Lepisosteus oculatus: one gene and its partners. The protein of the gene in region 1 interacts with the protein of each later gene in a pairwise test. Links are inferred from orthologs where the notes say so. Each region holds a gene or a part of one and is shown in the gene's direction. Other genes may lie near its edges. The genes, in order: clk2a, ythdc1 and prpf38a.

Evidence for each region.
Region 2: the proteins of clk2a (region 1) and ythdc1 interact in binary tests that used the Homo sapiens proteins (3 or more experiments, as listed by UniProt). The two-hybrid records come from large-scale screens. The link is inferred for Lepisosteus oculatus from reciprocal best matches to the Homo sapiens genes CLK2 and YTHDC1.
Region 3: the proteins of clk2a (region 1) and prpf38a interact in binary tests that used the Homo sapiens proteins (3 or more experiments, as listed by UniProt). The link is inferred for Lepisosteus oculatus from reciprocal best matches to the Homo sapiens genes CLK2 and PRPF38A.

What each region holds. Positions count from the first base shown.
Region 1 is NC_090722.1:6,922,207-6,932,094, reverse strand, and holds the start of clk2a (dual specificity protein kinase CLK2), read left to right. Parts: upstream 1-6,170; 5' UTR 6,171-6,307; intron 6,308-8,725; coding exon 8,726-8,898; intron 8,899-9,238; coding exon 9,239-9,485; intron 9,486-9,497; exon of another isoform or gene 9,498-9,888. Other genes in the region: uncharacterized protein, read left to right, coding at 234-297, 1,471-1,800, 2,927-3,238, 4,408-4,551, 4,788-4,831, 5,150-5,299. UniProt on the Homo sapiens protein: Dual specificity kinase acting on both serine/threonine and tyrosine-containing substrates. Phosphorylates serine- and arginine-rich (SR) proteins of the spliceosomal complex.
Region 2 is NC_090698.1:64,044,837-64,054,916, reverse strand, and holds the start of ythdc1 (YTH domain-containing protein 1), read left to right. Parts: upstream 1-6,280; 5' UTR 6,281-6,453; coding exon 6,454-6,481; intron 6,482-9,604; coding exon 9,605-9,706; intron 9,707-10,080. Other genes in the region: UDP-glucuronosyltransferase 2A2-like, read left to right, coding at 660-747, 1,467-1,686, 2,137-2,419. UniProt on the Homo sapiens protein: Regulator of alternative splicing that specifically recognizes and binds N6-methyladenosine (m6A)-containing RNAs.
Region 3 is NC_090704.1:14,895,082-14,905,344, forward strand, and holds the start of prpf38a (pre-mRNA-splicing factor 38A), read left to right. Parts: upstream 1-6,462; 5' UTR 6,463-6,519; coding exon 6,520-6,649; intron 6,650-7,071; coding exon 7,072-7,231; intron 7,232-7,590; coding exon 7,591-7,712; intron 7,713-7,879; coding exon 7,880-7,965; intron 7,966-8,741; coding exon 8,742-8,855; intron 8,856-8,999; coding exon 9,000-9,106; intron 9,107-9,309; coding exon 9,310-9,336; intron 9,337-9,802; coding exon 9,803-9,894; intron 9,895-10,263. Other genes in the region: orc1 (origin recognition complex subunit 1), read right to left, coding at 1-93, 836-961, 1,545-1,803, 2,937-3,285, 3,607-3,785, 3,980-4,107, 5,584-5,681. UniProt on the Homo sapiens protein: Involved in pre-mRNA splicing as a component of the spliceosome.

The sequences.
Region 1 (9,888 bases):
CACTGACACAGTCCGGAACACACCGACACAGCCCCGAGCACACCGCCTCTGGCTCTCTGACACAGACGCTGACGCGATCCTGAACACACTGACGCAGTGCTGAACACACCGCCTCAGTCAGTCTGACACAGCCCCGAACACACTAACACACTGACACGGTGACACAGCCCCGGACACACCGACACGCCGACACAGCCCCGAACACACCGACCCGCCGACACAGCCCCGAGCACATGAGGCTGTGGTCCGCTATGGGCTCCCTTGTCCTGCTCCTCGGTCTTCAGTTTGTCGTTCAAGGTGAGTTCCATGTTTTCTCTTCAGAGTTTTTTAACTGTGTGGTAAATATAAAAAAGAATAATACTAATTGAGGAGATTTTTAAATATCCAGCCTATACTGTAACCTGACCGAGAGCTCGGGCGATTGAACGGAGCGACAGTCCTTAAACTCCTTTCCACACTAAAGACAAGCGTGTCGTTTTCCGCCTGTTAGAACTTCGACGATTCGGCCTCTTCAGACAGACAGGAGTAAAACTGTTTTAAACAGAATCACCTTTTCTGAATCGTGTCCTCTCATAGAATCACAGAATAACCGTCGAGTTACTACAGTACTACTGATAATTACTACAGTACACAGATATTATTGTAGTATTGTTCATTTACAACGTTGTTATGTTTTACAGATCTATTATGGTTACTAATATTTTAGTCTTGTTTTTATTTATTTGCACGCACGATTAAACCAAAATTATGATTATTACATTAATATTATTATTCATGTCCTATGATAATATTTCGTATCCTTTTTATGTCTTATATGTTTCTCGTTGTTAATATTTAAATGACTATTGCTTTTCTAATGTTTTTATCGTTAATCATGCGCAGTATTAATATTAGATTTATTCTTATTAGTCTGTTTTTGCTGTTCTTATTTTTCAAATTGCTGTTGTTCTGATTTTCGTTGTTAATGTGCAATTACACGATTAGATCTTATTGAAATATTATTACCATTGTTATTAAAATTACTGTTGCACTTCTATCATCGTCTTTGCTAATGAACATTAATACTGTTAGATCTGAATATATTCGTACTGTTATTATTAAAATTACTGTTATTATTGTTGTTCATGTGCAATAATGATATTAGACTTTATTAATATTATTATTATATTGAATTAATATCATTTCTGTCGTTTTGTCTGTTAAAGCGCAATAAAACAAATAGCTTTTATTAATAATTGTTAAATTACTATTGATCTAATTGTATTATTATCGTTGCTAAAGTGAAATAAGAGTATGATACATTATATTGTTGCTGTTATTATTAAAATCGCTTTTGCTCATATATTATTAACGTGCAGTAATACTATGAGATCTTCTGGATGTTATTATTATTATTATTATTATTATTATTATTATTATTATTATTATTATTACACAAGCCGAACCTGGCGGGCTCTGTTTGTTCCTCAGCGGTTCCGGCCCAGGACAGGGTCTGGGTGTTTTCCCAGCCGGGCCAGGACGCCGCGGTACCCTGCACCTGCATCACAAAGCAGGGCTTCTACAATGAGCACCTCCTCTGGTTCCGAATGGACCCAAACGGGAAGCTGGAGATCCTCAACACGGACTGCAACCAGAACCGGAACACCGGCTGCCGATACAGCAGCACCAGAATCGACTCGAACCGGGTCCAGCTGACGGTGCTCGCCGCCCATTCCGCCGACTCCGGCGTGTTTTACTGCGGGGAGCAGAACAACAGCTGCACCGCCTTGCCGGACCTCGGAACCGTCTTCGTCGTCGGAGGTAAGAACCCGCCCGCCCCGCGCCGTGCCGGGGCTGTCCGGGGCCGGGGAGCCCAGAGAAGACCCGGTCGGCGGCGCTGGGTGCGATTGCTGGCAAAAACCACACAGAGCAAAACCCGACAGGCTCCAAGACGTTCTGTCGGGCCCGGCGGGTCTGGAGGGAGGGACCGGGTCCGAGGGAGAGACAGCGAGCTTTTACTCCGCCCTGCGGCCCGGGCGGCTGCGGGCTTCTGGGCGCCCGGCGCTTCACTGACAATTCAATTCAACTCAAGGCGCTTCACTGACATGGTCGAGGAGTACAATCGGTGTTGCCAAAGCAAAACAAATACAATTAACATGGAACAACAATCTACAGACGTTTACAATAAAGCCACAATCATAAGATATTTGCATATAAACATAAGGAGTATTATTGGAATAATATTAATATCTGCCTGCCTCACACCGACACACACAGGGACACACAGACACACACTGATATACACAGAGATACACAGGGACACACACAGGGACACACAGACACACACTGATATACACAGAGATACACAGGGACACACACAGGGACACACAGACACACACTGATATACACAGAGATACACAGGGACACACACAGGGACACACAGACACACACTGATATACACAGAGATACACAGGGACACACACAGGGACACACAGACACACACTGATATACACAGAGATACACAGACACACACTCACAGGGACACACAGACACACACTGATATACACAGAGATACACAGGGACACACAGGGACACAACAGGGGAATTTAGAGACAACAGTGACCCAGCCAGCAGGAGTCTGGGAGGTGGGAGGAAACAGGAGCACCTGGGAAAACCCACTCCCACGCGGACAGACCATGCAAACTCCTCACAGAATGTGCCCCCGGCCAGAACCGAGCCCCACAGCCCAGAGCCGTGTACAGAGCCGCACCCCACCCACCCTGGGTTTCCGGCTGCTCTCTGGGGTGATGCGCTGGGCTCTGCAAGACGACGTGAGATCCTGATGCAGCTCTAACGCAGGCTGCAGTGCCAGCTGCCTGGCTCTCTGGGGGTCCCCGTTAATCTGCGCTCATCACGTGCCACGCGCTGCCTCTCTCCCCCCCTGCAGACCCCCCCGCGGACAGCCCCAGCGTCTCGGTGCTGGTGCGGCCCGGCCGGCGCGGGGAGGGCCTGGCCCTGCTGTGCCTGGTGAGCGGCCTGGCGCTGCCCTGGGCTCAGGTGAGCTGGCTGGGGGCCGAGAGGGAGCGCCCGGCGCTGGAAGAGACCACCAGGGTGGCAGGCAGGTACCGCGTCACCAGCCGCCTGAACGTCTCGGAGGAGGAGTGGAGCGAGGGGGGGCCGTGGTCCTGCCAGGCCCGGACAGGCTGGGCTAGCGTCCATCAGAGCCCGAACGTCTCGTCACGCACCCTCGAGGGGAAAGGTAAACCCACCCACACAGCACCCACCCCTTACCTACCACACACCCCTCACCCACTCATCACCCCTCACCCCTCACCCATCACCGACCCCTCACCCCTCACCCCTCACCGATCACGACCCCTTACCCCTCACCCCTCACCCCTCACCCATCACCGACCCCTCACCCCTCACCGACCCCTCACCCCTCACCCCTAACCCCTCACCGACCCCTCACCCCTCACCCCTCACCCCTCACCCATCACCCCTCACCGACCCCTCACCCCTCACCCCTCACCCATCACCGACCCCTCACCCCTCACCCCTCACCCATCACCCCTCACCGACCCCTCACCCCTCACCCATCACCCCACACCCCTCACCGACCCCTCACCCCTCACCGACCCCTCACCCCTCACCCCTCACCCATCACCCCACACCCCTCACCGACCCCTCACCCCTCACCCATCACCCCACACCCCTCACCGACCCCTCACCCCTCACCGACCCCTCACCCCTCACCCCTCACCCATCACCCCACACCCCTCACCGACCCCTCACCCCTCACCGACCCCTCACCCCTCACCCCTCACCCATCACCCCACACCCCTCACCGACCCCTCACCCCTCACCCCTTCACCCCTCACCGACCCCTCACCCCTCACCGACCCCTCACCCCTCACCCATCACCGACCCCTCACCCCTCACCCCTCACCCATCACCCCACACCCCTCACCGACCCCTCACCCCTCACCCCTCACCCATCACCCCTCACCCCTTACCCCTCACCCCTCACCCCTCACCCATCACCGACCCCTCACCCCTCACCCCTTACCCCTCACCCCTCACCCCTCACCCCTCACCCATCACCGACCCCTCACCCCTCACCCCTCACCCCTCACTGACCCCTCACCCCTCACCCCTCACCGACCCCTCACCCCTCACCCCTCACCCATCACCCCTCACCCATCACCCCTTACCCATGAGCCACCTCTTACCCACTCCCTACCACCTCTTACTCTCACACTCCCACCTCCAGCCCCACACCCACCATCACCCACCCTGACCTATCCCTTACAACCCATCACCCATCACCCACCCCTCACCCCATTATTATTGAGAACACTACAGTGTGTCAGGATAAAGGTATTACAGCACACAGCTGTGAGGTGTCGCCCCCTGCTGTTCGAACAGGTCAGCTGACTGCGCTCCAGTGGTGCCCGGGTCCGAGTGGGTCTCTGTACCCAGCTGTCCTGGCCTCTCTCTCTGCCCTCAGTCTGCTGGCTCTGATCGGCAGTATCTCCTACCTGACCATTAATCGCTCACCCTCTGACAGAGGTAAGACACACACACACACCAGCTCAGACACACACACACACAGATAGAGAACAGACGGATTGATTCGTATTGCTCATGAGACACACAGACACACACACAGATAGAGAACAGACGGATTGATTCGTATTGCTCATGAGACACACAGACACACACACAGATAGAGAACAGACGGATTGATTCGTATTGCTCATGAGAATGGATCACTGCTCTGCTCGTCCTGTGCTCCTCTGTTGCAGACTCGAGGCAGACAAATGGGGGCGCTCTTGTACCTGGGTTAGAGGTGAGTGTGGTGTCATGTGACCAGTGTGTGTAGACTTTATACACCTTAACAAAAGTACTTATATTTAATCTGGGTGGTTCAGGCCAAGGGAGGGTAAGAATAGAGTGGTCAAGGTACAGAGTATTGTGCAGTGCTGTGCGTTGTTGTGTAGTGTTGTGCAGTGTAGTGAGTGTTGTGCAGTGCTGTGCTTTCTTGCGAGGTGTTGTGAATGTTGTGCAGTGCTGTGTGTTGTTGTGAGTGTTGTGCAGCGCTGTGCACTGTTGCAAGGTGTTGTGTGTTGCTGCGAGGTGTGTGACACATGACCCTGCTGTGTTGCAGACGGACACCTATGGGGGCGTCACCTACGCACACCTGGACCTGAAGCCCGCGGGCCGGCCGGGCCGGCGGCGCCAGGACAGACAGGAGGACAGGCTGACCTACAGCGAGGTGCGGTACGCCAGGCCCAGCGGGACCGGCCAGACCGCCTAGCCCTCGCCACGCAGCGCCACAGCGCCCCCTGCTGCCCAGCCCTCAGATCCCAGTCCGCTGACAGCTGGGCTTCAGCAGTGCGCAGTTCTCTGGACTGCTCTGGTCTTCTGTAGTGTGCAGTTCTCCTGTGTGCTGTGCTGTTATAGGGTGTTCAGTAGTGTGCAGTCCTCCTGTGTTTTGTGGTGTTCAGTAGTGTGCAGTCTGTGCTGTGTTGTTCTGTGGTGTTCAGTAGTGTGCAGTCTGTGCTGTGCTGCTCTATGGTGTTCAGTAGTGTGCAGTCCTCCTGTGTTGTGTGGTCTTCAGTAGTGTGCAGTCTGTGCTGTGTTGTTCTGTGGTGTTCAGTAGTGCGCAGCCTGTGCTGTAGTGTTCAGTCCTCCTGTGTTGTGTGGTGTTCAGCGCCCTCTACAGCTCACCCGCCGACAGTGTCTTTTATCTTCAGTGGTTATTTACAGTTTGTGTCCAGAGCTCTTCCGTGCAGTTTGGATTTTTACTCGTCAGTTTTATAGATTTATTCTCGAGTTCTGCTGTGTTGACGTGCTGCCGGTGCTGTCCAGCGCCCTGGAGGCGCCGATCTGCGCATCGGTTGTGAATAAAGTCAGCGTGATGCGTGAGCCTGTGTCCTGCGTGATGTTTTCAACAGCTTCCTGTGCTCCTCGCCCGCCACACATGAAGCAGCCAGCGGCTCACGGGCCATCTCACAAACCACACATTACCACCAGTACCGACAACACTGACACAGCCTTGGTGTATTAACGCTGAGCCCTCTGTGGGTGTGACAGGTAGCTCGGAGTTCTCGTCAAAGTGGTATTTAATAAGCCGTCCGGGGGCGAGCACGCTTGGCTACTGACGTCGCTCGGCTACCCCCCACTCTCGGGAGCGCGCAGGTAAGGAAAGCGAGAGCGCGCGGGCAGCTGCAGCTGCTAGCACAGAGCGCGAGAGAGGGAGAGAGAGCGAGCCGCCAAGACGGATTTCCTGTGGGATAAGCGGACGGGCCTCGCTGCGAAAACGGTAAAACATGAAATCAATTATCGCTGTTCTTGCGCGTTCGGGGCTCGGGGCGGTAAGGGGGCGCCGGGCCGGCCCCCGGGTGCCCGGGAAGCCGGGGTGTTTCCCAGCCGGAGCGGCCGTGGAGCGGGCCAGCGTGTCGAGCTAAGATGGCGGCGGGGGAGGAGGGAGGGAGAGAGAGAGAGAGAGAAGCAGGGGTGCGCAGCGGCGGCGGCGGCGGGCTGTAAAATGGCGGACTCGGGGAGAGGGGAAAAAAAACAAAACAACAAGAGCGCCCCGTCGCCGAGCAGCTGCCACGAGCTGGGCCGGAGTTCGGTTACAATTCAAAACCCGCAATTCGAATTCGAAACTCCGCCCCAACGGCTGGCGGGTCCCGGGCGGGCGGTGTGTCTGAGGCTGGGTCCCCCTGGCCCGCTCTCCTCTCTCTCTTACTGCGGCCCCGTTGCCTCTGCTCGCTCACTCGGCCGTGGGTGCGGGGAGGCAGCGGCTCTGGGGGCGACAGTCATGTAAAGAGGGCTGAAGAGACGGGGCTCGCCGGCCTGTGCGGGGTCGATGGGGGCGGGACACAGCGACAACATGGTGGGCGCCGTGCTGAGCTGAGCTGTTGGCTTTTTAAATATTAATTACACGAGCTGCTGTCTGACCCACAGCCGAGAATCCCCCCACTCCACCCCACCCCGGGGCTGTGAAAACTGATGGTAGCGGGTGTCCGTGTCCGGGAGCCGCCTGACGGCACCTGTTCCTGTAGGGCTTGGAGGTTTTGACGTGAGAACAACAGGGTCGCTGTCTGAGGGTTTAGGCCTCCGGGTTGAAAAACACGCCGCCTGCGCTGCTGGAGACGCCACGGAGGCAGGCGAAGCGTGTGACTTTGAGAGCTGCCGTGTGCGTGTACCTGTGTTACCTGCCCTGCGCAGGGTCCGGGTCTCCACTGCTACTGTACCATACTGTCACTGTTCCTGAACACTGATGAACCCACACCACACTGCAGTACTGTAGTGCTCTCACTGTTCCTGAACACTGATGAACCCACACCACACTGCAGTACTGTAGTGCTCTCGCTGTTCCTGAACACTGATGAACCCACACCACACTGCATTACTGTAGTGCTCTCACTGTTCCTGAACACTGATGAACCCACACCACACTGCATTACTGTAGTGCTCTCACTGTTCCTGAACACTGATGAACCGCACTGCTGCAGTACTGTAGTGCTCTCACTGTTCCTGAACACTGATGAACCCACACCACACTGCAGTACTGTAGTGCTGTCACTGACCCTGAACACTGATGAACCCACGCCACACTGCAGTACTGTAGTGCCGTTACTTACCCTGAACACTGATGACCCCACATCACACTGCTGCAGTACTGTAGTGCTGTCACTGACCCTGAACACTGATGAACCCACGCCACACTGCAGTACTGTAGTGCCGTTACTTACCCTGAACACTGATGACCCCACATCACACTGCTGCAGTACTGTAGTGCTGTCACTGACCCTGAACACTGATGAACCACACTGCTGCAGTACTGTAGTGCTGTCACTGACCCTGAACACTGATGAACCCACGCCACACTACAGTACTGTAGTGCTGTCACTTACCCTGAACACTGCTGCAGTACTGTAGAACGGAATCTGACTTCTCCCCCCTGCCCCACACACTGTCTCCCCAGGTGACCACACAGTCCCTCTGTCCACAGTCCACCCGGCCCCCTCAGACATGGGGGGGTGCTCCTGCCCTGCTGGGGGGAAGATCCAGTGCCCACCCCAGCCATAATCCACCACCTCCCCATCATCCTGCCCATCAACCCCTCTGGGATCAGTCGCACCCCAGTTTCTGCCCTGGGTTCCCCGAAGTGTGAGGGCCGCCTGGGGCAGTGTGACAGCTGCTCCTCCTGCCACCCGTCGCCAGGGCAGCCGGCGGGTCTCGCTCTGCGCTAACGTCCCCGCCGGACGAGATGCGGCCCTTCCTCCTCACGAGTCTCTGTGATGACGGGTTGAGCAGCAGACATTTCCCCGCAGATACGTTCCATTGTGATCTGCGCGCAGAGTTAACGGCTGAGAAGTATTTGTCGGCAAAAACAAGTCGAGCGCGGTATTTCTGCTGGATTAAAAGAGGTGTGTTCACAAGCCTGCTGGTTTGCGATGTCAACACGTCACCGGTAGTTTTGTTGCCTCGTTCTGAATCGCAGAACATGTGCGGACCTGGAAATGTGATCTATGTTGTGATGTAAATTGGAGGTTTTACAAGTTACTGTGAACGTTTTACTGTAGTGCTGTCGTTGTGGTGGTCCTGGTTCTCTCTGTGTGAAAATAGCGGTACAGGTCACCTTTCGGTACAGGCCGCCGGCCCACAAGCGCACAGCACACACACCTGTCCCACCGGGCTCACCCGCCCCCGCCCCGTCCTGTCCTTCCAGATGCCGCATTCGAGACGGTACCACTCCTCGGAGCGGGGCAGCCGATGCAGCTACCAGGACCGGTACCGGAACCGCAAGCACCGGCGCAGGCGCAGCCGCACGCGGTCCAGCAGCAGCGAGAGGGACCGGCGGGCCCAGCGGCACGAGGACAGCTACCACCTGCGCTCCAGGAGGTCAGGGCGGCGCCGGGCTTCGGCCGCGCGAGCACCCGCGAGCCCCCGTCCTTCGGCACCGCTGGTACCGGTCTGGGCCCTGGCCTCTCCCCGGCCAGCGCCGCTCGGCTGGGTCCAGCGCCAGTGCCGCGCGCTTGTCCGTTACCTCCCCTTGCCCGCTGTGACTGTCCCCACCCTGGGGCACTGGGGACCGGCGCCTCCGCTCAAAGGGTCCATGAGGGCCAGTTCGCCCCCTCCCCCGAGTCCGGCCCCTAACACCGCGTCCGCCCCCCCCTCCCCATAACCCCCCAGTCCGCTTCCTGCTCTCACGCTCACACCCCCTCGCCCCCCCCTCCGGCAGCTACGAAAACCGTTCGGCGGACCGCAGGGCGTTCGAGCGGCGGTACTGCGAGGGATACCGGCGGCTGGACTTCAGCCGGGAGCGGGACCGCGGCGCCGAGGGCTACTACGACGTCGACTACGCCCTGCACCAGCGCTCCTACGAGTTCCGGCGCGACCGCGAGGACAGCTACCCCAGCCGCAAAAGCAGCAGGCGTAAGCACAAACGAAGGAGGCGTAGAACCCGAACCTTTAGCCCATCGTCTTCGGTGAGTGTGCCCACCGCCCCCCCCGCCCCTGCCCCCCTCCCTCCCTCCCTCCCTCGCGCGCCTCCTGCCCTCTTTCTCTACTAACGCTCCTTTTCGCAGCTCCTGGATTCGGTAAGTAGCAAACCTTTTGTTTGTTTGTTTTGTTTTGCTGTGGATGTTTTTTTGGGGTGGGGGCGGGGGCGTGAATGTTGTCTCTCTCTCACTGTAGCGAGACGGGGCAGGTTTTGCGAAGGTCCTTCCTTGCCGCGCGGACCTTTTCGCTCTCTGGGCGTCTGTAAAAACAATAGTTTAAAAAATCCACGTGGGTAATGGCAGTCTGTTCCGTGTGCTGCCAGTCTCGCTCTGGGGTTTCTGTCTGCTCCAGGGTGGGGTCTCCTCAGGGTCCTCGGTGGGCTGCGGTCCT
Region 2 (10,080 bases), on another chromosome or scaffold:
ATATTTATTTTGAGCGACTTCTAATTTTGCATTTAAACTTTGGCTTAATTGTTATTATCACTTGATTAATCATGCAAAATGTACTCATTTGTGTTTTTTATTATGCATTGATGTGTGAAGTGAATTCCTGATGAGCATGTTTTTGACCAGTTTAAATAAAGCAAATGTTTGTTTTATAACTGATAAAGGCTAATTCAATACTAATTACAACAGAACGTAATACACTGACATGTGTTAGCAATACAGTCAATACCTTACTAATACCATTTGAGTAAGTATTGATCAATTTATTTGGCAATAAAATGGTGCATTCAGTATGTACTGTAAACTGAGAACAGTCTTAGACTCGTTCACCTAATTTATGTATAGTAACTGGACCAACCGATAGGTTGATCAAAGTTTTGTTGCTAATACAGCTTTTTACAGTGATCCCATTAGAACTGTCTGTTGATAACTCAGTCCTTGAGTCTTTTATGAAAGTTGCTCAAAACCATATAAAGTAAAAAGTTCAAAAGCAAACCTTGGGGCTCTAGGCTCTATTGAGTCTTTCAATTTGCTGTAATCAGCTCCTCAGCACTAGTCAGTCATACAAGGAATTTGGTCACATTTACTCTGTCAAAACATGGTGGGTTTTCCCATTAGTGTATTTTGATTGATAGGTTCTATGGAGGTACAGTGGTGAGAAGCCAGATACCTTGAGTCCAAACACCAGAGTTTATGACTGGATTCCTCAGAATGACCTTCTAGGTAAGGTGCTGGAATTGCAATGTTTCATTTTCTCTTGTAATCTGTGGCAAAACAGCACAGATTTGATTTTTCTTGTGTTGTCTTTTGAATGCAGTGAACTGTTTGTCTGTTTGTTATGTACGCTGGCTATTTATTGCATGTTGAAGTTGTCTCTTCCAATGGCCTATGAGAAACAACCTCTCATGTTTGATTTTTTTTGTGTTCTAAAGGGCTTTGAGATGAAAAATCACAAAAATACAAGGATCATCATTATTTTGTGTTTGAATTTCTCTTTAAAGGTTTTGATGAGATACATTTAACTATGGCAATTCTTTGCTTCTCAGAGTTGGGGCCCTGGATTCAATTCCAGGTGCTCTTTTTGGGGTTTGTATGTTTCCCCATGTTGGCATGGGTTTCCTCTGTAAGATCCAGTTTCCTCTCACAGCCTGAAGACATTCTGTCAGGTTAATTGGCTTTTGGAAAAACTAGCCCTGGAGCGAGTGTGTGTGTCTGTGTCTGTGAGCCGTGCAATAGACTGGTGTCCCCACCAGGGTGTATCCTGCCTTGCACCCACTGCTTGCTGTGATAGGCTCCTGCTTTCCAGTGGCCCTGTATTGGATAAAGCTTGTCCTAACACTACTCTGAACGGGACTATGCCTATTCTTGCAGAATGTTTCCAGCTTGTGCTTCCTGCGGGGCTACTGAATTTTAAAAAGCTGTTGCTTGTGCTATACTCACAGGACACCCAAAGACCAAGGTTTTCATCACCCATGGGGGGACCAATGGAATATACGAAGCCATATACCATGGGGTTCCTATGGTGGGCATCCCTCTGTTTGGTGACCAGCCCGACAACATGATGCACATGAAAACCAAGGGAGCAGCTGTTGTCGTCGATTTCAACAACATGGAATCCAAAGACCTTGTGGATGCCCTCAGCACAGTGATAAATGACACGTCGTAAGTCACATTTTAGTTTCACTGTCACCTTTGTAAGACGAACCAGAGCTGAAATGTTACTCACTCAGCAAGACTAATAAACCATTCCGAAAACACAATTAATGTGCGTCAGCTTACCTAAATTAAACACCCGAATCAAGTTGTCATTTAAGTTGTTCGTAGACAACCCTGCTTCTTAAAAGGCAACTGGAAAGACTTATTAAAAAGGGTAAATTAAAGCCAGGGATGCTGCAAAATGAGAGATTGTTTTCCTGTTTTAGTTTTTTAAGCCTCTCTAAGGCTATAAAAATATACTGCATAATACTGTGTTTAACTAGCCAGAACCCGAGTCTAACCCTGTGCTTTTCCGAGCCAGGTTTCTGCAACTGCTTCCTCAACAAAAACCTCCTCTGTATTGTGTCAATGTCGGGAAACGTTAATCATCACATTGTTCTTATCCTTCATTACCAGGTACAGAGAAAACGCCATGAGGCTTTCGAGAATCCACCACGATCAGCCGATGACGCCGCTGGAGAGGGCCGTGTTCTGGATCGAGTTCGTCATGCGCCACAAAGGGGCCAAGCACCTGAGAGTGCAGGCTCACAATCTGGCCTGGTACCAGTACCACAGCCTGGATGTCATCGCCGTGCTGCTGGCTGCTACGGCAGCAGTGGTGTTCGTCCTCATCAAAAGCTGCGGCTTCTGTTTCCGGCGATGCTGCAGGAGGGCAAAAGCAAAACCCAAGAAGGAATAAGTCCTGGTCACTGAGTGCTTCATTTCACTTTCGGATCCAATCCGGGATTTTTTTTCCAGTAATCGGTGAAACCGCGATTATAATCTTTATATAAGGGGTCAATCAGTGGTAAGATGCCAAAAGTTTGGAGTTCGTAATGAGGTTCAATACGTTCGAGTGGGGACTGCATCTGTGTGCAAAAGAACAAGTATGGGTTAATTTTACGTGGAAAAATACAAACACAATATTTATGCTGCAAAGTGTTCTTCAGATGTGAGGTGGTAGTCCTTCCACCCGAAGCGGCTCAACAGTCTAGACGCTATGATTCTCCTTTCTACCAACCAGGTTCAATGTGTACATGTCTACGACACTTTGTGCTTTGGTGTGGCACCTCTGGTATTCTCTGGAGAGATTTCAGAGATGTTTTTTTTTATTTCAAGTCGGTCTTAAACTCTGCATGGAGTCCCAGCCTCTTCTACAGTACCTATGGCTATGAGACTGACCCTCGCCAAGCTGGGATCAGAGATCCCCAATTCAGTGGCGAAACCAGTCTTGTGCAGGCAGAGTAGGGAAGAGACTGTTTCATGCTCACCAAAACAGATTAGTGCCCTCAGCTTTACAGTGGGCGTGCTATTCTCAGGGGGAGGTACTGTAGCTGAGGCCTGAGAGAGAAGAGAAAGAAAACAAGTGAATCAGCTAAGATTTCCTAGCTAAGGTGCAGGCCTGGATGGGAAAGGGTAGTAGCATATGAATCAGTCCAGTCCAAGGGGTGTGGAATACTACAAAACCTAAATACTCAATAAACCTGCCTAATTCTTGAGTGTTGTTATTCCCCCTGATAGCACTTGAAAGAAAAATCATCTGTAAATTATAATATATCACGTACTGTAGGCAAGAAAAAGGCTAGGGAAACAAGCATAGAAAAACTGACTTACAAACTACTATATTTTAAAACTGGGAACTATTAACAATGTGCCAGTTGAGGTCAGGTAGAATCCAACCAGTCTCCGTGTTTACATCCATTATTATGGGTAACCCAATGCATAAGTTGCAATAGATAAATGTAATGAACTGTAGTGTAGATGTTCCTCATAAATGTGATGTTTAAATATGCACAATTATGGTGCAAGTCATTTTGACTAAATGAACAGAAAGCTGCAGCACATTGCTTCAGCTTTTCAAATTTATTACACTACAAAGTATGCCTTTAGAATTCCAAACATGATTAAGTGTGTAATTGTCATTATTCCAAATAGATGTTCTGAATGATATGTGTATGTGCAGCATACAGTATCTTTATTTTTGGTGTTAACATGTAGACAGCTATTCTGAATACTACTCTCATTGATAATGCCCTGTAGAACGTTGGTTAATTTTGAATGTCACTAAAAAATAGTGTTAATTTATATGTTTCTGATGTGAGTTAAATTAACTTTTTTCTCCTGTTTATTTCCACCTGTTTATTATGCAATTTTTTTGTATTTTGTGGATAAACTGCAGAATCTTTTACACTTTTGTTTATATCCACATTCTCGTGCTGTCTACATGTGGAAAGGAATGCTGAGAGCTGATATGTTAAATATGGTATTCATTTGGTTGATTGGTATGATACAAAATAATAACCATATTAAATAAATTTGTATATATTGATTTATGTAATGTTTCAGAAATATTATTGAATTATTATTGTTGTTTTTTATATACATACAACAAATAACTTTTGTAATTTGTCTGTATTGATAAACTATATCTTGAGATTAAACCTGAATTTTGAAAGCAATGCTTATATTAATAGATGAAAAGGTTGTTTTCAATAATTAAGAATCAAACATCAAAGTCAGGGTAAACTTGAATAACTGAATTCACAAAGAGCAGTGATAGGCTTTAAAATTAAAGTAATTATCTAACTACTCTCTAGATCCTATTACTACTGAAATGTTATGGGGTGATAGCATGTTTAACCAACAAAAATGCAACTGGAGAGGATTAGGACTGAAAAGGCAAAAAACACTGTGAACAGGCTTCAGCACAGAAGAAATGTGGTCAAGATGGAGTAGGAAATGTGTGTTGAGATGCATGTGCAATAAAAGTAAAGTAAAAAAGCATTTCTGTGCTGAATTGTCTTTGCATTGAGTATCAATAAATGCTCAATAATATTTATCACATTTCTCATTTATTAGTTGTATTTTAGTACTTCAGATGTCTCTATAATTTTGGCCACAGTTGCATACACTACTCTTTTAAAGTAAGTCTACCCATCCAACATCAGAAAGTCCATTCTTGATAAGGGCTGTGACAACCTAGAGCCCGTCCCATTTGCACAGGGGTAGAAGATGGGACAGGATAGCAGTCCATGACAGGACACACGCATTAAAAAACACGGAGACAGTTTAGACACCCTTAACCTTGCCAACATGCCAAGGAAAACCGGAGCACCTGAAAAACATGGGCACAGGGGGAACATGCAAACTCCACACCAAGGACTGCACATCTGGAATCAAACCCAGGACCCAAGGGCCTATGAGACAGCGGTGCTAAATGTCAGTGCCATCAGTACTACTGTACATATTTCCTCCAAATGCCTTCACACTGATGATGTGTTCATTTTCTTACGGAAACATTTATGATGGGGGCAACAAATTAAAAGGAAATCGAAATAGCAGTCTGAAAAACGGAATCATTTCGTTTAATGAAAAATGTATTTCTAAATGAATTTAATGTAGTTTTTGAGAAGTTCTATTGAGTGATTGCTGGAAAAGGCTGAGACTGGTGAAAAGACTGAGAAGAGTTTTCTTGCAAGCAAAACTCAGAGTATTTGCACTTCGCATAAGCTTGAGATTACATTGAGCATTCATACTGATTTTGCATCTGACTAAATTTTGAATATAATAGGGGCAAGGTGTATGCGTACCGAATTATAATTTTAAAATTTATGGAGAATGAGAAGTGAGGTAACAGTTCAATTTTTCATACTGCAAAACTGTTTCACTCGATTCTGAGAATGTTTGTTTCTCAGTAGACCTCAGTTCTGTTGCTGAGATAATTATATTAGCTCTGCCCTGAAGTCAAATGGTAGAACCTACCCATTCTCAATTCCTGCCAAATTCCTTCTCAGAATTGCTTCCTTTGTGAAAATGAAAATGTAATTCTCTTTTCTTCCCTCAGACATATTTTATCTGGCATTGTAAGCGGCAAATGTTTTGCATGAAACTTCTCAAGTTTGTAAAGCTTTGTGTTCTCTCACTCGTTGTATCAACTCTATTTCTATTTATTAACGTGTTTAGTGTACGTAACCTTTCATTTTAACTTTGTTTTTGGACTATGGTGTTTACCATAAACCTGCTGGCAAATGTCTGAGTTTGTTTGTTGTCTTTGGTGTATTTTGTCTACAGTATGTACAGTTCTCTTTACTTTGAGCACAGCAAAGAAATCAGAAGTCACTTCTCTTTCTAGTTTAAGATTTGCCCCCTTCATAGTCACAGTGGATCAGACCAAGGTCTAGGTCTCCAAAAAAGCAGCATCACACCTAACCGAGTTTAACTGATCCTGAATTGAGTTGGACAAGTTTCTTCAAGTCTATGTAAAGCCTTTTAAGATACATCTAAATATATCATATTATTTTACAATATTCATTTCATTGTTATGCCTGCGGCAACAAACAATTACTGAGATTCTACAGCAAACAGAAGAGATCACAACCTGCGCACTAATCTGCGCATGCAAGATGCAGTTCGCCATTTTTGAAAGATGAGGCTTTGAACCCCACAGCCCACGAATGATACTTCCGGGTTTTGGAACGCTGAAGCTGTTTGTGAGGAGTAAGCCTGCAAAAAGCTTTGTGACGTATTGGCGGAGGGAATTGTGGGTAATCGCATTGTATCAGAGAGGCAGGGAGGTTGGGCGCCATTTTGACAGAGGTGGGTTAGAGGCTGCGGAATGCGGGAGGGTAAAACTGTATTTCTTTAACATATTTTAGATCTATAAACGAGGCAGTTATAAGAAAAGGCAAGACGAATCCACTGCAGATAAACGCCAGGCAGAGAAAGGGCCGGAGGATGGCGGTCGACAGGCGAGATGAGAAAGGTAAACTGCGATATTTTCATTTTTGGGGAAGGGTTGTTTACGGGTAAGTGAAAGACTGGTGGCGTGGAGTGCATTTCTTTTTTATTTGGGTGCAGCGACGTCTGTAATTTATGTTAAATCCTACGTTGTGAAACGCGTGGTTATCGTGATATGTGTCCTCCTGCCACAGGCGGGGTATGTAGAGGAGCCTTTATCCTCCTAATCGATCGACTGTATCGGTGTCGTTTGTCAGCTATCTGCTTTGATTTTCAAGCCAAGCCCCTGGTTATACACTCACTTAGGCCCCCTAAATAACGTTATCCATTCCAATATGCGGTTTAATGCGCACCACAAAATTGAAGTTTGTGGTTTCGGACGTGTTTTCTTCATCGACGTTTTTTCTTTCTCTGCAAATGCTGGAAGGAAGCACGGATGGTTGTTGTAAAGCTTAGGTGTTCTTGTTTCCGTGGAGTTAATACGATATTGTAACGCAGAAAGACTGGGCTGGGAGATGCGACTACCCCACCCCGGGTATCCTGTACAAATCTGAGCCTCTGAGCAAAAATGGAGGCGAAAGGCTTATCGTGTAGGCACCTCTCCGTCCTTGTTTACAGATTGGATCTTTGTGGATTCTGACCCGCTCCCTGATCGAGATCGCGAGTGCCAGATTTCCTCCTGATAAAAGGTGTCCCCTAGGCAAAAGGTGTACTTATAATTTTCTTTGATCTGGGACTTTTCTTGCTAGTGGTGCGCAGTGCAGGGGCTACCGTGTTCAGATCCTCCAGTTTCTGCGTTACTGGGCGATCGCTGGGAAACTGCATGGAGTGAGCGCTTTAAAAACGTGACAGGGTATGCATAACGGGAGCTGACAGCTTCTGGTGCTGAATTTGAGTGCCCTGTCAGCATAGGACGGCTGCTGATCAAGCAAGATGAATTTCAGATGGAGCAGCCATCAGTTCGGTTTCGCTTTGGGCACATGCTTTGGACTTGCTAGTGAGTGGTTCTGAAGCGACATGGTTTTCATTTTGTATCTGAAGGGCGGTGTTCAATTTAATCTTCGGTCTGTGAGCTTCCCGCTGATAAACTGGCAGAGATGTAGTCTGTTGGTTGGTACTGATATATTGTGTAATGGTCTTATTTTAACTATGAAGTACAGGAGGACAGAAGTGTAACATGCTCGAGGTAAATCGAGGTAGCCAATGTTCTGTAAACATAATCTTTAACTATAGCATTAATCTGAGCTATTATTTGTGTGCAAGAGCTGGTGCTGTATTTAAGGTGGGGTTATGGACTTTTAGAGTTCCATAAATTCATCACTGTATTTCCCACAATGAAATGGAAAACCTCAAGTCAGTTGGAGTAAGAAATAGAGGGGCAGCCATGATGAACAAATAAACATCTGGGGGGGTCAAGCCACAGACTGCACCCTCCAGTGTCCCAGCACCAGGTATGCAGCCCATAATAATGCCACCATTGAGCAGCATTGCATTCTCAAAATCAGTTTTATTACTTTAAGGAGTGGTATACTGCCTTTTCTTTTCCCACCTGCACCCTAGAACATTGCGTCAATGAGGCGTGTTCCCAGAGTAGAGCTGAATTTGACATTATAAGTTTGTCTGCTTCAGAATTGCATTGTCACTCTTTCGCCATGCAAAATATTTAACTTTAGCTTCAGGCTTTGAACTGATGTTAGTGTATTGAAAGTCAAGTCTCAGACGTGGCATGTAATACCATCTGCCCCTAATCAAAAAGCTTTTTACTCTTATCGAGCCGTGAGAATATCTCAGAAGTATAAGGATCAAGGCAGTTAACCTAACCAACATGCCTGGAGAGAGGTGGGGACCACCCAGGACCCTCGGAGAACCATGCAGTAGCAGGGAGGACGTGCTGATCTCACACGGTGTTTTCATACAAAGTTGAAAGCTTTAAACATCATGTCACTCGTGATTAAAGAAACACACATCTGTAATGAAGTAAATAGGCAAAATATCAAACATTGTACACTGTTACAGGAGAGGGGTATGTAACCTTATGGTGTGGAAGTTAACCTGCAGGTGGTGCATCACGGACTGTCTGCAGCTTCGAAGGTCACACCCAGAACATCAGTTACAGTGCAGCTAGCTGGTTTTTTATATTGTTCCTGCGCATGGATGTTTTAAATGCAGCGCTACCATGAGCATTTTTCAGCTGGGGTGTCCTTTACGGATTTTGTATGTTTATTTTTGGTACTTTTTGTTGGCAAATAAAACGGGTAACCTTTAAAAGCCTGGAGTGGTTTCTTTTTAAAGAAATCGAACTTTTGGTAATGTAGACTTTGTTTTACGATTCTGTGTATATATAGTTACCCTTTCTAAAAAAACAAGCAACATTTATGCAATAGCAGCACGGTTTCTGTTATACCTTTCAATTAGGACCAGCTTTCATCACTTTAGTGGAAGCCTCTGTAAAAGGGAACTTCAACGCTATTTAATAATTTGGGGGCTAGAAAGAATCAGCATTGATGAGTGCACTTCAAGCCATAATGAAAACAAAATGTACACGGTAACACGTACGACTTCCAATTTACATCACGAAATTGACCACATTTCCAGGCATGTGCATCACCATATTGCCATCATTGTCTGCGATTCAGAATGAGGTACCAAAACTGCAGGTGACTTTTAATCGAATAGAAATACTTTGAACTTTGCAGACAAATACTACTTGTTCAAAAGTGCATTTAGAGTTAACATTGCTGTTGTGAAATGTCTGCTACACAACCTATACTTATGCGCTTGGACATCCCAAAACATTAGCCATGACGATGACTATTGAGCAGGATGGTTCGATTCACATCATAATTCTCTCAAATTTGCGCTCTCATCTGTGGAGAGACCAGCGGTTTACAACAAATAGCAACCATATAGTACTTTCACAAAGTTCACAATTTATGCTTAATTCAGAATTTGTGAAATTTTCCGATCCTGTCAATTAATTTATGTTGTTACCGAGATTTAATAACTAGTCTGAGAAACTGAGGGACTGAAGTTCCCTTTTAAAGGTATAACTTTGAAGCAATAAATATGATTTGTATTTTTTCATGTCCTTTGGACCTTAAATCTGAAGGAATGTCTTTCTGAACTCATGGGACATGATACTTTTCAGATGGTGAACTCAACGTCCTGGACGATATCCTGACTGAGGCACCTGACCAGGACGACGAGTTGTACAACCCTGAAAGTGAGCATGACATCAACGAGAAAAAAGGTGGGGATCTTAGGACAGGTTTGCTGTGGTTATGGAGTTTAATGAACTAGAGACAGTGCCCATTCCTTAAACCTTTGCATGCTTGCAAATGTAACTGAATGACTATATTCCAGGGCGGAGCTGTGGCTCTGTGGCTAAGGATCTGTGCCTGTGGCTGGAAGGTTGCCGGTTCAAATCCCGCAGCCGGCAGAGGAATCCTGCTCTGTTGGGCCCCTGAGCAAGGCCCTTAACCCCAACTGCTCCAGGGGCACTGTACAATGGCTGACCCTGCGCTCTGAACCCCAGCTTCTCTCCCTGTCTGTGTGTCTCATGGAGAGCAAGCTGGGGTATGCGAAAAGACGAATTCCTAATGCAAGATATTGTATAGGGCTAAT
Region 3 (10,263 bases), on another chromosome or scaffold:
ATGCGCGAGGACACTAACATTGCAGACTTTCTCTTGGACCGGGGTGTCATGGCTGTCTGTTCTGTGTCTACATTGTTGTCTTTTGCTTCTTCCCTGGAGAACCAAAGACAATATAAGTGAGAGCAAAGTCCCAGTACCTGAGCTAGACTTGCCCATTTTCCCCACAAGGCCATAGTAGAGTAACACAACTGATGCTCACACAGCAGCCAAACCTTACTATCTTCCTTCACAGCAGGTCTATCAGAGCAATAGAATACAAGCCTGATGCAAAGAGCTTCAGAGTTCAGATCATTGATCGAACATCCATTTGCCACTGTGAAGGACACTCTGCTTCCACTAAAACCTTCAAGTGGAAATAAGAAAATACAGCACAGGAACTGAATAAGACTTGTGTTATACAGCAATTCAATTAATTTTGTCTCTCAGCAGAGGAAGGCTCGTGAAGCAGAGGGGTGCTACATAATGCAGTTTTATTCATAGGCATTTCAATGTTAAGGCACACAAAATAATTTTGAAATGTCCAGTCCCTGGTATAACAGAAATTGCACAGTACGTACAATACTAGAATTTAAAGACCCAACAGTCCAGTTCGTACCTAGTATTACTGAATTATCACCCTTTCACCAGATTTTGCGTAGCTCACCATGTAGCAAGAAGGAAAACAAACAATGAATATTACACTCCAAGAGATTTAGAATCTTTATTTCATTTATCCCTGGTAAAGATGCACAGAGATTATGGAGATTACTACAGTCATTCAACTGATTCACAAATCATTGTTCTCTGGCACCCATACTGTTGTGTCTGGAGGTATTTCAAAAGAAGAAATACTTACTTTTTCTGCGGTCTCACAGCACTTTTCCTGGGTGTGTCCTCTTTCTTGCAGGGGGTTTTGGAACACCTTGTCGAGACCCTCACTTTGTCCACTTCCCCATCCAGAGGAGAAACTCCAGAAGTGTCCCTGTAACAGCCCAGTGACAACTCTCACTGGCCCATCATCATCATCATTCAGTTTCCATAATACATACTGAAGTCTTCCTATAAAAATATTTCTACCTCTGACAAGGTTTAGGTTTAATTCCATGCTTAAAATTAGAAATAAATTAAAAACATTTAACTTTGAAGCCTTCGGGAGGAGTGGTGGCTCTGTGGCTAAGGATCCGTGACTATGCCTGGAAGGTTGTCGGTTTGTATCTCAAGGCCGGCAGAGGAATCCTACACCATTTGGCCCTTGAGCAAGGCCCTTAACCCCAACTGCTCCAGGTGCGCCTATAAATGGCTGACCCTGCGCTCTGACCCCAAGCTTCTCTCCCTGTCTGTGTGTCTCATGGAGAGCAAGTTGGGGTATGTGAAAAAGACAAATTCTTAATACAAGAAATTGTATATGGCCAATAAAGTGATCTTATCTTATCTTCTTCACTTTTAATTTTGCAAGATGTATGCTGTAAGTGAGCAACACTCTCAGCTCTTCACACAAAAGGGCCAGTATTGACTAGGCCCATCGTGGATCTACTGACAAGAAAGTGTACAGCAGAAATACATACTTTACTGACTCCTGGTTCCGATCGGGACGGGTGCTGCCGGCAGGGTCCTGAGCGCCCTGCAGGGGACAGATGCGAACAGCGGGGGAGGTGATGGCGACTGATCTGATGGGGGAAAGGCGGACAGTGATGCCGAGGGGCCGTGGGGGAGTGGCAAGAACCTTGCTTGTCAGCTCGCTCTTCTGGTTCTCAATCTCTGTGTGAAGCAGCTCCTCCAGCACATCATCCCTGGTGAGCCGAGCCCCCGCGGACTTCCCTGGGCCTACCAGAAGACACCAGAGAGCTAAACAGTGCGAACAATACTTTGGTGAAATAGCTAAATGATATCCTGGGATTGATTAAGTACTCAATACCAAATGAGTTAGATGGGCAGAGATGTTAGTAACATTCCTTACGATCTAACACTTATTTACTTGAGGAATGTCCACTGAAATGAGTAAAACAAACGAAAACAAACATTTAAGTTCATTAAAATTTTTTGGAATCTCTTTTCCATTCTGAAATGTGAAATGAGAAATGTTGGAAGCACACCCACAGTTCTTAACTGTGTTTTTATACCTTGTTTGCTGGGGAAGTACTGACCTACAGCTTGTCCCCTCCCCAGTAAAAAACACTTATTTTGAAAAACCTTGTTTTCCCCCCTGCTGCAGGGGGATGGGCATTGCCTCTGCGTACTATTATTAGGAACTTGTATTTTCAGATTTGTAATCCATTTGTAATGTAAAAGACCATGACCGCTGATGTCGGAGAAGCCGATAATAATAATAACGCCAGCAGCTATAGTATATCACCCTGCAAGTCCCTATTGGCAGCCCAATGATGCTAAGCAGGTGTAAGCCTGGTCAGCATGTGGATGGAAAACTCCTGGGAAAACTAAGGCTGCTGCCGGTAGAGGTGTTAGTGGGGCCAGTAGGGGGCGCTCACCATGTGGTCTGTGTAGGCCCTAATACCCCAGTACAGTGATGGGGACACTATACTTTAAAAAGGCACCGTCCTTCAGATGAGAAAAATAGTAAAATAGTCCTGTCTATGGTCATTAAAAATCCCAGGGCGATTCTCAAAAAGAGTAGGGGTGTTACCCCAGCGTCCTGGCCAAATTTCCCATTGGCCCTTACCAATCATGCCCTCCTAATAATCCCCATTTATGAACTAGCTTCATTACTCTTTTCTCCTTTCCACTGATAGCTGATGTGTGGGGAGCATTCTGGCACACTATAGCTGCCGTTGCATCATCCAGGGGGAGCTACACATTGGTGGTGGTGGAGGGGAGTCCCCATTACCTGTAAAGCACTTTGAGTGGAGTGTCCAGAAAAGCGCTATATAAGTGTAACAAATTAATAATAATATTATTATGGCAAATGACCACGCGAACCACAATTTCAAGCAAGCACTTACTGCTGAGCTGCAGCTTCTTCCGGACGCCTGGGGTGGAAGAACACTTGGCCTGCCGTCGGGCACTCAGGCCTTTTGACTGGGAGTACTTGGAGGAGGAGTGGTGGGACTCAGCCTGGCTTGAGGCTGGCACCCCCACACTCACCGCCCCAGCCAAGGCCCTCTTCATCACAGCAACGTCGGGGGTGGGCAGGCTGCCTCTGGGAGCAGGGGCCAGAGAAGCCCCACTGCCCTGTCCCACCTGCTCAGCTGTGACCGCTCTGAAGGCCTTCCCGTTCCAGGACAGCTTGACGTAGAGGGTGCCGTTGCTCTGCTCCACTGGGAAGGGGGCTTGTGGCTCCACATGTCTCACCTGGAGAACACAGAGTGCCTTCAGACTCGTCTCTCCTTAAGAAATCACCTTCAGAAAGGAATGCGGATCTCCCCCAAGCTTTGCCATGTCATAAGCCAATGCCACCCTTATTAGCAACAACATTTCACTGACTATTTAATTAAGGTTCTAAAAAGCATTTTAAATGAATTATTTTTCACATTGTAAATAAAATCCAAGTAGCAAGATGTTTTGCCCATGTTCTGATCACAAACAGAAATGTTTCATGAGATCAATTTTTAAAGTCTGAGGAAATATCCCAGATCACCTTCAACATACATGTGTGTCTGTGATTTTACTCACCTCCACAGCACCAAGAATAGTCTCCACATCTATTTCACAGTCACAGTTAGTCACGTCATACAGGAAGATCTCCTGAGGGTGGGGCGCCCTGCCCAACATCTTCCTCTTGTTAGAGGGCACCTCCGAGAATCGGGCAAACCACTGCACCTCTGCTCGCTTATTCTCTCTTTCCCTAGGACCTAAAGATGAGAGAACCATGCCATTACTTTTAACCTCATAAGTGTCTCAAGGAAAAAGAAGGGCTAAAGAAACACAATTTGCTACAACCTCACCACCTCCATGAATTTAAGCGATCTTTAAATTCTTTCAAAATACTTTCATGGTACACATGCTCTATATCAGACTGGAGAAGAAATGCCTGCCAGTGACTCACCACTGCCGTAGAGTTTGAGTAGTTTTGCAATAAAGGGATTGTCATCATCATCGCCTTCGATCAAGATGTACTGGCCGAGCTTTATAGAACTGGCTTCTGAAGTGCCTTCTGCATACATGAAAAACCCACTTGAAAAACAGAACAAATTTCGTTCAATTTAGTTTCAGAACCAATATTAAGTTTTATGTGTTAACTTAATTGAATTAACTTACTTAGCACTTTTTCTCTATGTATCTGCAACTAAAGTGTCTTTGTGGACTTCATGTCCTCCCTGAGACCTGACATTCAATTACAATTTGTGGCTTCAAAACCCTCATGGTTAGGTGCCATGATGGACTCTTCCTATGACGGACAGCACAGACAGTATGTGAAGGTAGAATGTTTAGTTTACAGCAAACAAAACATATATAACATTCCACGTAAGCCCCAATATTTTACTGCATCCCAAGTTATCATTCTTGACTGTATAAACAGAGAAAAGAGTTAAAACCTTAGGTTATGGACTTGATCCAGAAGTCACACCAATGTGATACACAATATAGTTACATCCTTTGATCTATGATATACACAAAACCTACTGTTACTGCACTTCAATAAATGTAAATAACATTGTTCTTAAATTGTTATTCTCAGTATTGTATAAATTCTCTTTAACCATTTACCCTACCACTTTAAAACTACAGGTTAGTTTGCTACCTTGCTATATGCCACTCAGTCACACTCATAAGGTGTACCGCAGGACTCTGTCCTAGAACCCCTACTCTAGACCTGTTCCTTGAGTCACTTCCACATATACTTTTTACCTCTCGTTTTGTCATCAGATTTCTCCCTCTGGCATGCTCCTGTGATGACTTCAAGAGTGGTATGCAGAATCACCCGCTTCCTTACCAACTATTCCACACAATTCCAAATGATCAGACTATTGTAACTCCCTCTTTTGCCGACTTCCCTGTTAATACTACCCGTTCACTCCAACTCATCATGAATTCTCTTGTTCACCTTTGCTCTTCACTTGCTACTCCATTACCTGTACCCCTCCACTGCATCCCTGTTACTGCGATTCAAGACCCTACTTCCCTCCCACCACTCTGCTCCTGCCAAACCTGACTCCTGTATCTCTCCCTTCAACCTCCTCAGCAGTGCAATGAACTGCCAACAGAAATCCAAACAGCTCAGTCCCTGACCACCTTTTGGCACCTGCTCAAGACTCACCCGTTCAGAAAGGAGATGTGTCTTCTCAGTACTCAGCTACATACCTCAGAAGCTCAATCAGCCTGCCCTAAAAGCCTTTTGTTTTCAATTTGACACTGGAATTCTCCTACTCAACTGAAACATGGAACTCACAGCATTATTGATCCGTACTAGCACTACCTAGATAGGCATGTTGTTGTTATGGGATTTTACTGCCTCACTTGCAAGTGCAGGTTCTGAGATGCAAAAAGCAAAATAGGCAAAATGGACACTTCTAACATGTAACCTTTCTTATGTGTCCTTGTACTAAACGATGGGATGAATGCAGTGTAAAAACACAACTTATTGATAATGGTTTTTAGTAGAAACAAGCTATCTGATTGCTAAGGAAGCCGAAGTCTTGAACTACTCACTCGTAATAGAAAAACTGCAGTTTCCTGTCAATGAGCGTAGGTTTTCCATTCCAAGTGTACACTCGCCTTTTCCTCTGCCTGGTTAGGTACCGGCTCATCTTTTTATCTCCTAAGGTGCACGAAAAGTAATAAAGCATTCAAAACTGAAATACTGAGAAAATGTGTTTTTAAATCTTGATTTTGAAGAAGAAAAAGTTTCTGAGTAAAGTTATATTATATCAATAGTGTCAACTGAGGTATTCAATTGAACAGTATGTTTAACTGCGTTACTGTCATTCTGTACATAAAAAAAACGTAACATGGAAACGACAGTGTTAATGACATTATGTGACTGAATTTTGAAAATGATGCTCATCTTCATGGAAATGATGGTGAGTAGTCGTCAACAACCAAGAAACAGTGAAATCCATGTGAACATAAACACATTGGACTCTCAGATTCCAGATGGAACCCAGTTATTCTTTCTAGATGTTACGATTTAAAAGATGTACTTACAAAATGAATGTCTAAGCAGGAAAGTAATGCCGCTTGATTTCTTCAGTGCACTTCAACTGATAAAAAAAGTTTGTCCAGGATGACACACAGGTAATAAACTATACCTCAAAAGTTTAAATAACGAAGGTGTGATTTTCGTTGTTAAAACAATCTTTAAAACGTAATTTTCTACTAACAAGAAGTGTTTCTTGTCATTTATTAATTCGCCTAAAATACACCAGACTTCATACAGTTATACAGTTATATCACTTCCTTTACTTTATAAGAACTACCCCCACCGACACACGCTACACTTTCCCGGGCTGGGTGCTCTGTGCTCAGTGACGTCATGTCACGTGACACGAGCGCTTGAAACACACGCCCTTTGACTCCAGAAGTGTATGTTTTCTGCACCGGAAACACTTGTGTTGCGAAGTGTTTTGAGAGGACTGTAGAGGAAAAATGGCTAATCGAACTGTGAAAGACGCTAATAGCATTCATGGAACAAATCCACAGTATTTAGTGGAGAAAATTATTCGCACACGGATCTACGAGTCAAAATACTGGAAGGAGGAATGCTTCGGACTTACGGGTGAGCAGTAGCAGAGACACGTGGTAATAATTGAATAAGTAGATATGGTAAAAATACAAGTGTGAACAGAGCGCAATTCGAGTAATTACAGTAATATCCATGGTAATACTGTCCATTAAAAAAAATTATAAACACACTGCTATTATTTGAGGCCTGTCTGGTTTTAATTTAATCTCTAGTCCAGATACAGAGATTTACAGCTGTTTGATCCATTTGACCAATTGTAATCCACCGTTTAGCTGCAAGCAGTATTAGCAATAGTAATTGGAAAAAAAACATAAGTGAAGTGTTGTGAGTAGGTGGCAAAAACAGTTTAAATAACCTCACAGATTTCGTTAATCTGTGCCTTCATTAAAACGTTACAGTGTTTTTGTAACGTTTGTCTGCTGATTGTCTTTACCACTTTTATTTTCTATGTGCAGCTGAATTGGTGGTGGATAAAGCCATGGAGCTGAAGTACGTTGGTGGAGTTTACGGAGGGAATATTAAACCCACTCCTTTCCTCTGCCTAACCCTGAAGATGCTGCAGATCCAGCCGGAGAAAGACATCATCGTGGAATTCATAAAGAACGAGGATTTCAAGTAGGTGTAGTGCACTGAGCTGAAAGACAAGCTATTGTAAAGAGGGCACGCAGAGCTTCTAGTGAGAAACGGCAGTATGTGGTAGATGTTTTGACAGTTCCATTGTGTTTTGGAGATGCTTGTTTCTTGTTTCTTTGGAGATGCTGAGCTCACCATGCAGGTCTTATCGTTAAGTTTTCTTATAGTTTTTCTACCTTTATGCACTGGCTTGTATTCATCATTTATCATACCATGAGGTATTCTTTCTGAGGTAACATTAAGGATGCTACATTTGTATGCTATATTTTCTTCCATTTAAAAAGTTCTCGGTACTAGCCCTGCTGAGGATACAAAGTGAAAGTCACATTTATTCCCTGTAGGTATGTCCGTTTGCTTGGAGCCTTGTACATGAGACTGACTGGTTCATCAGTGGATTGCTATAAGTACCTGGAGCCATTGTACAATGACTACAGGAAAATCAAAAACCAAAATCGGAATGGAGGTGAGCTTCTTTGTTGTGTGCATGCAGTTGTTTTTAATATTTTACGACAAGGCCGTATTTTGTGGCAGCTGTTTTGTTAGAGGCATATGCCAAGTGAGATTAACTGGAGTTTAGTACTTTTTTTTTTAAATGCTTGTTCACACTATCTTGCCTTTCCATTTCTCAAGAGTTTGAGCTGATGCACGTGGACGAATACATTGATGAATTGCTGCACAGCGAAAGAGTGTGTGACATAATACTTCCTAGGCTACAGGTATGTAGTAGCTCTTTTCATTCTTCTGCACTCTTATAGCAGGCAAATCTCTAGGAATAGCAGATTAAAGAAGTTCATATCACTTTATAATAATAATTAATAATAATTGTTACACTTATATAGCGCTTTTCTGGACACTCCACCCAAAGCGCTTTACAGGTAATGGGGACTCCCCTCCACCACCACCAATGTGTAGCATCCACCTGGATGAAGCGACAGCAGCCATAGTGTACCAGAACACTCACCACACATCAGCTATTAGTGGGGAGGACAACAGAGTAATGAAGCCAATTCATAGATGGGGATTATTAGGAGGCAATGATTGGTAAGAGCCAATGGGAAATCTGGTCAGGACGCCGGGGTTACACCCCCACTCTTTTCAGGAAACGCCCTGGGATTTTTAATGACCACAGAGAGTCAGGACCTCAGTTTTATGTCTCATCCGAAGGACAGTGCCTGTTTTACAGTACAGTGTCCCTATCGCTATACTGGGGCGTTAGGACCCACAGGGTGAGCTCTCCCTGCTGGCCCCACTAACACCTGTTCTAGCAGGAACCTTAGTTTCTCCCAGGAGGTCTCCCATCCAGGTAGTGACCAGGCTCACACCTGCTTAGCTTCAGTGGGCTGCCAGTTGTGAGTTGCAGAGTGATATGGTTGCTGGCATGGCCTTACATGTCTTGACAAGTTTCTTTGATTATGATCGCGATTAAAAAGCACTTGCAGAGTCGGAGTCTGCTGAACAGGTGTGCAACGAAAGGTGTGCATCTGTTTTGCAGAAGCGGCAGGTGTTGGAGGAGGCAGAGCTGCTGGACACTCGGGTCAGTGCACTGGAAGAGGACCTAGACGAGGTGGAGACCAGCGAGGAGGAAGAGGAGGAGGAGGAAGAGAAGGTAAGGGGAACCAAGAACTCTGAACCTCGGTCTGCAGGATGTTCTTCTATCTCACAATTGTTTCCTAATTTTGTTCCCGTTTTCCACTTGGTGTTTCTTCTGTTGCGGTGAAATGCGGTGACCTCCTGCGGTCATGGCTTGCAGCCGGAGAGAGGCCAGTCTCCAGAGCCCCACCGACGAAGCTACCGCGACGTAGACAGGCCCCGCCGATCCCCCTCCCCTCGCTACCGACGCAGTCGGTCTCCCAGGAGGTAAGCGCCTCGCTCTGTTTTTTCTTTCCCAGCAAGAGTGCTGTGATCACTTCACTTGATTAAAGCTGTTGTCATTTGAACGTTTTTCTCAAGGTGTTTTGAGATCATCGGTGTGAAAATAGAATAACCATGTTTGAGAAAGTGACTCCAAAACAGCATAACAAAATCTTAAAACTTTTTATCTTCCTCTTTTGTACTTTCAGACGGAGCAGATCACCTAAGAGGCGCAGGTAATATAATTTTTGAATTCCTTCTTTTTATGGCAACATTGATTAATCGGGGATGTAATTAAGTTGAGATTTTTGTAGTTACTAATTGACACTTATCACTGGCCAATTCCCAATCTATGAAATATAAATTACCAAAGTGTTATTTTGTGAAGTGATCAGACCAGTAATAAAACAGGAACACTTTGTCTACTAACAGCATATTTCTATTAATCAAGTACTTGGGTTTTTCCAGTGACTTAAAGCTGGACACTAATGTGAAGCAATAGACAATATTTTATATTGCAAGATATAACATTTTAAAAGTTAACTAGCACCTTGTAATGCTTTTATTATATCAGCGTTCGTTTACCTGCCTGTCGCTTTAGGGCAGAATTGTCAGCATCAGCCTCGATGAATAAATAGGGCCAGGGATTTGCCAGGCTGGTATTGTAATTGCTGTGGGTTTTTTGGTTTGGCTCTGGAGCAGCCCTTCACCCCGTCGTGAGAGGCATCGGAGCAAGAGCCCGCGCCGGCACCGCAGCCGGTCCAGAGAGAGGCGCCACCGCTCCAAGTCTCCAGGTACTCCCCCGTGTTTCTGCAAACCACTTCTTAACTCTTTCTCCTTTCCAGCGTAACCCTTTTGATTTCATAGCATGAATTGGAACTGATGGTAGAACTGGTTCCAAGCTACTAAGAACAGAAAGCTTAGTGGAGTCCCCTAATTTTGTCAAGGACTAGTCCTGAGATGTCCTTGGCTATAGGCTGGAGCACAGAGGTTTTCAAAGGTAATGTTGATAGGCCAATAGATTAATACATGTATGAAATGTTTAAATATAATTTCTAGGAATCTTTTAAGGCATTATGTAATACCTTTTATTAATACTTGGTAAGTTACAAGCTAAATCTCGCTTTCTGTCAATGCTTGTTTTTCACATTTCTCTAGACCTG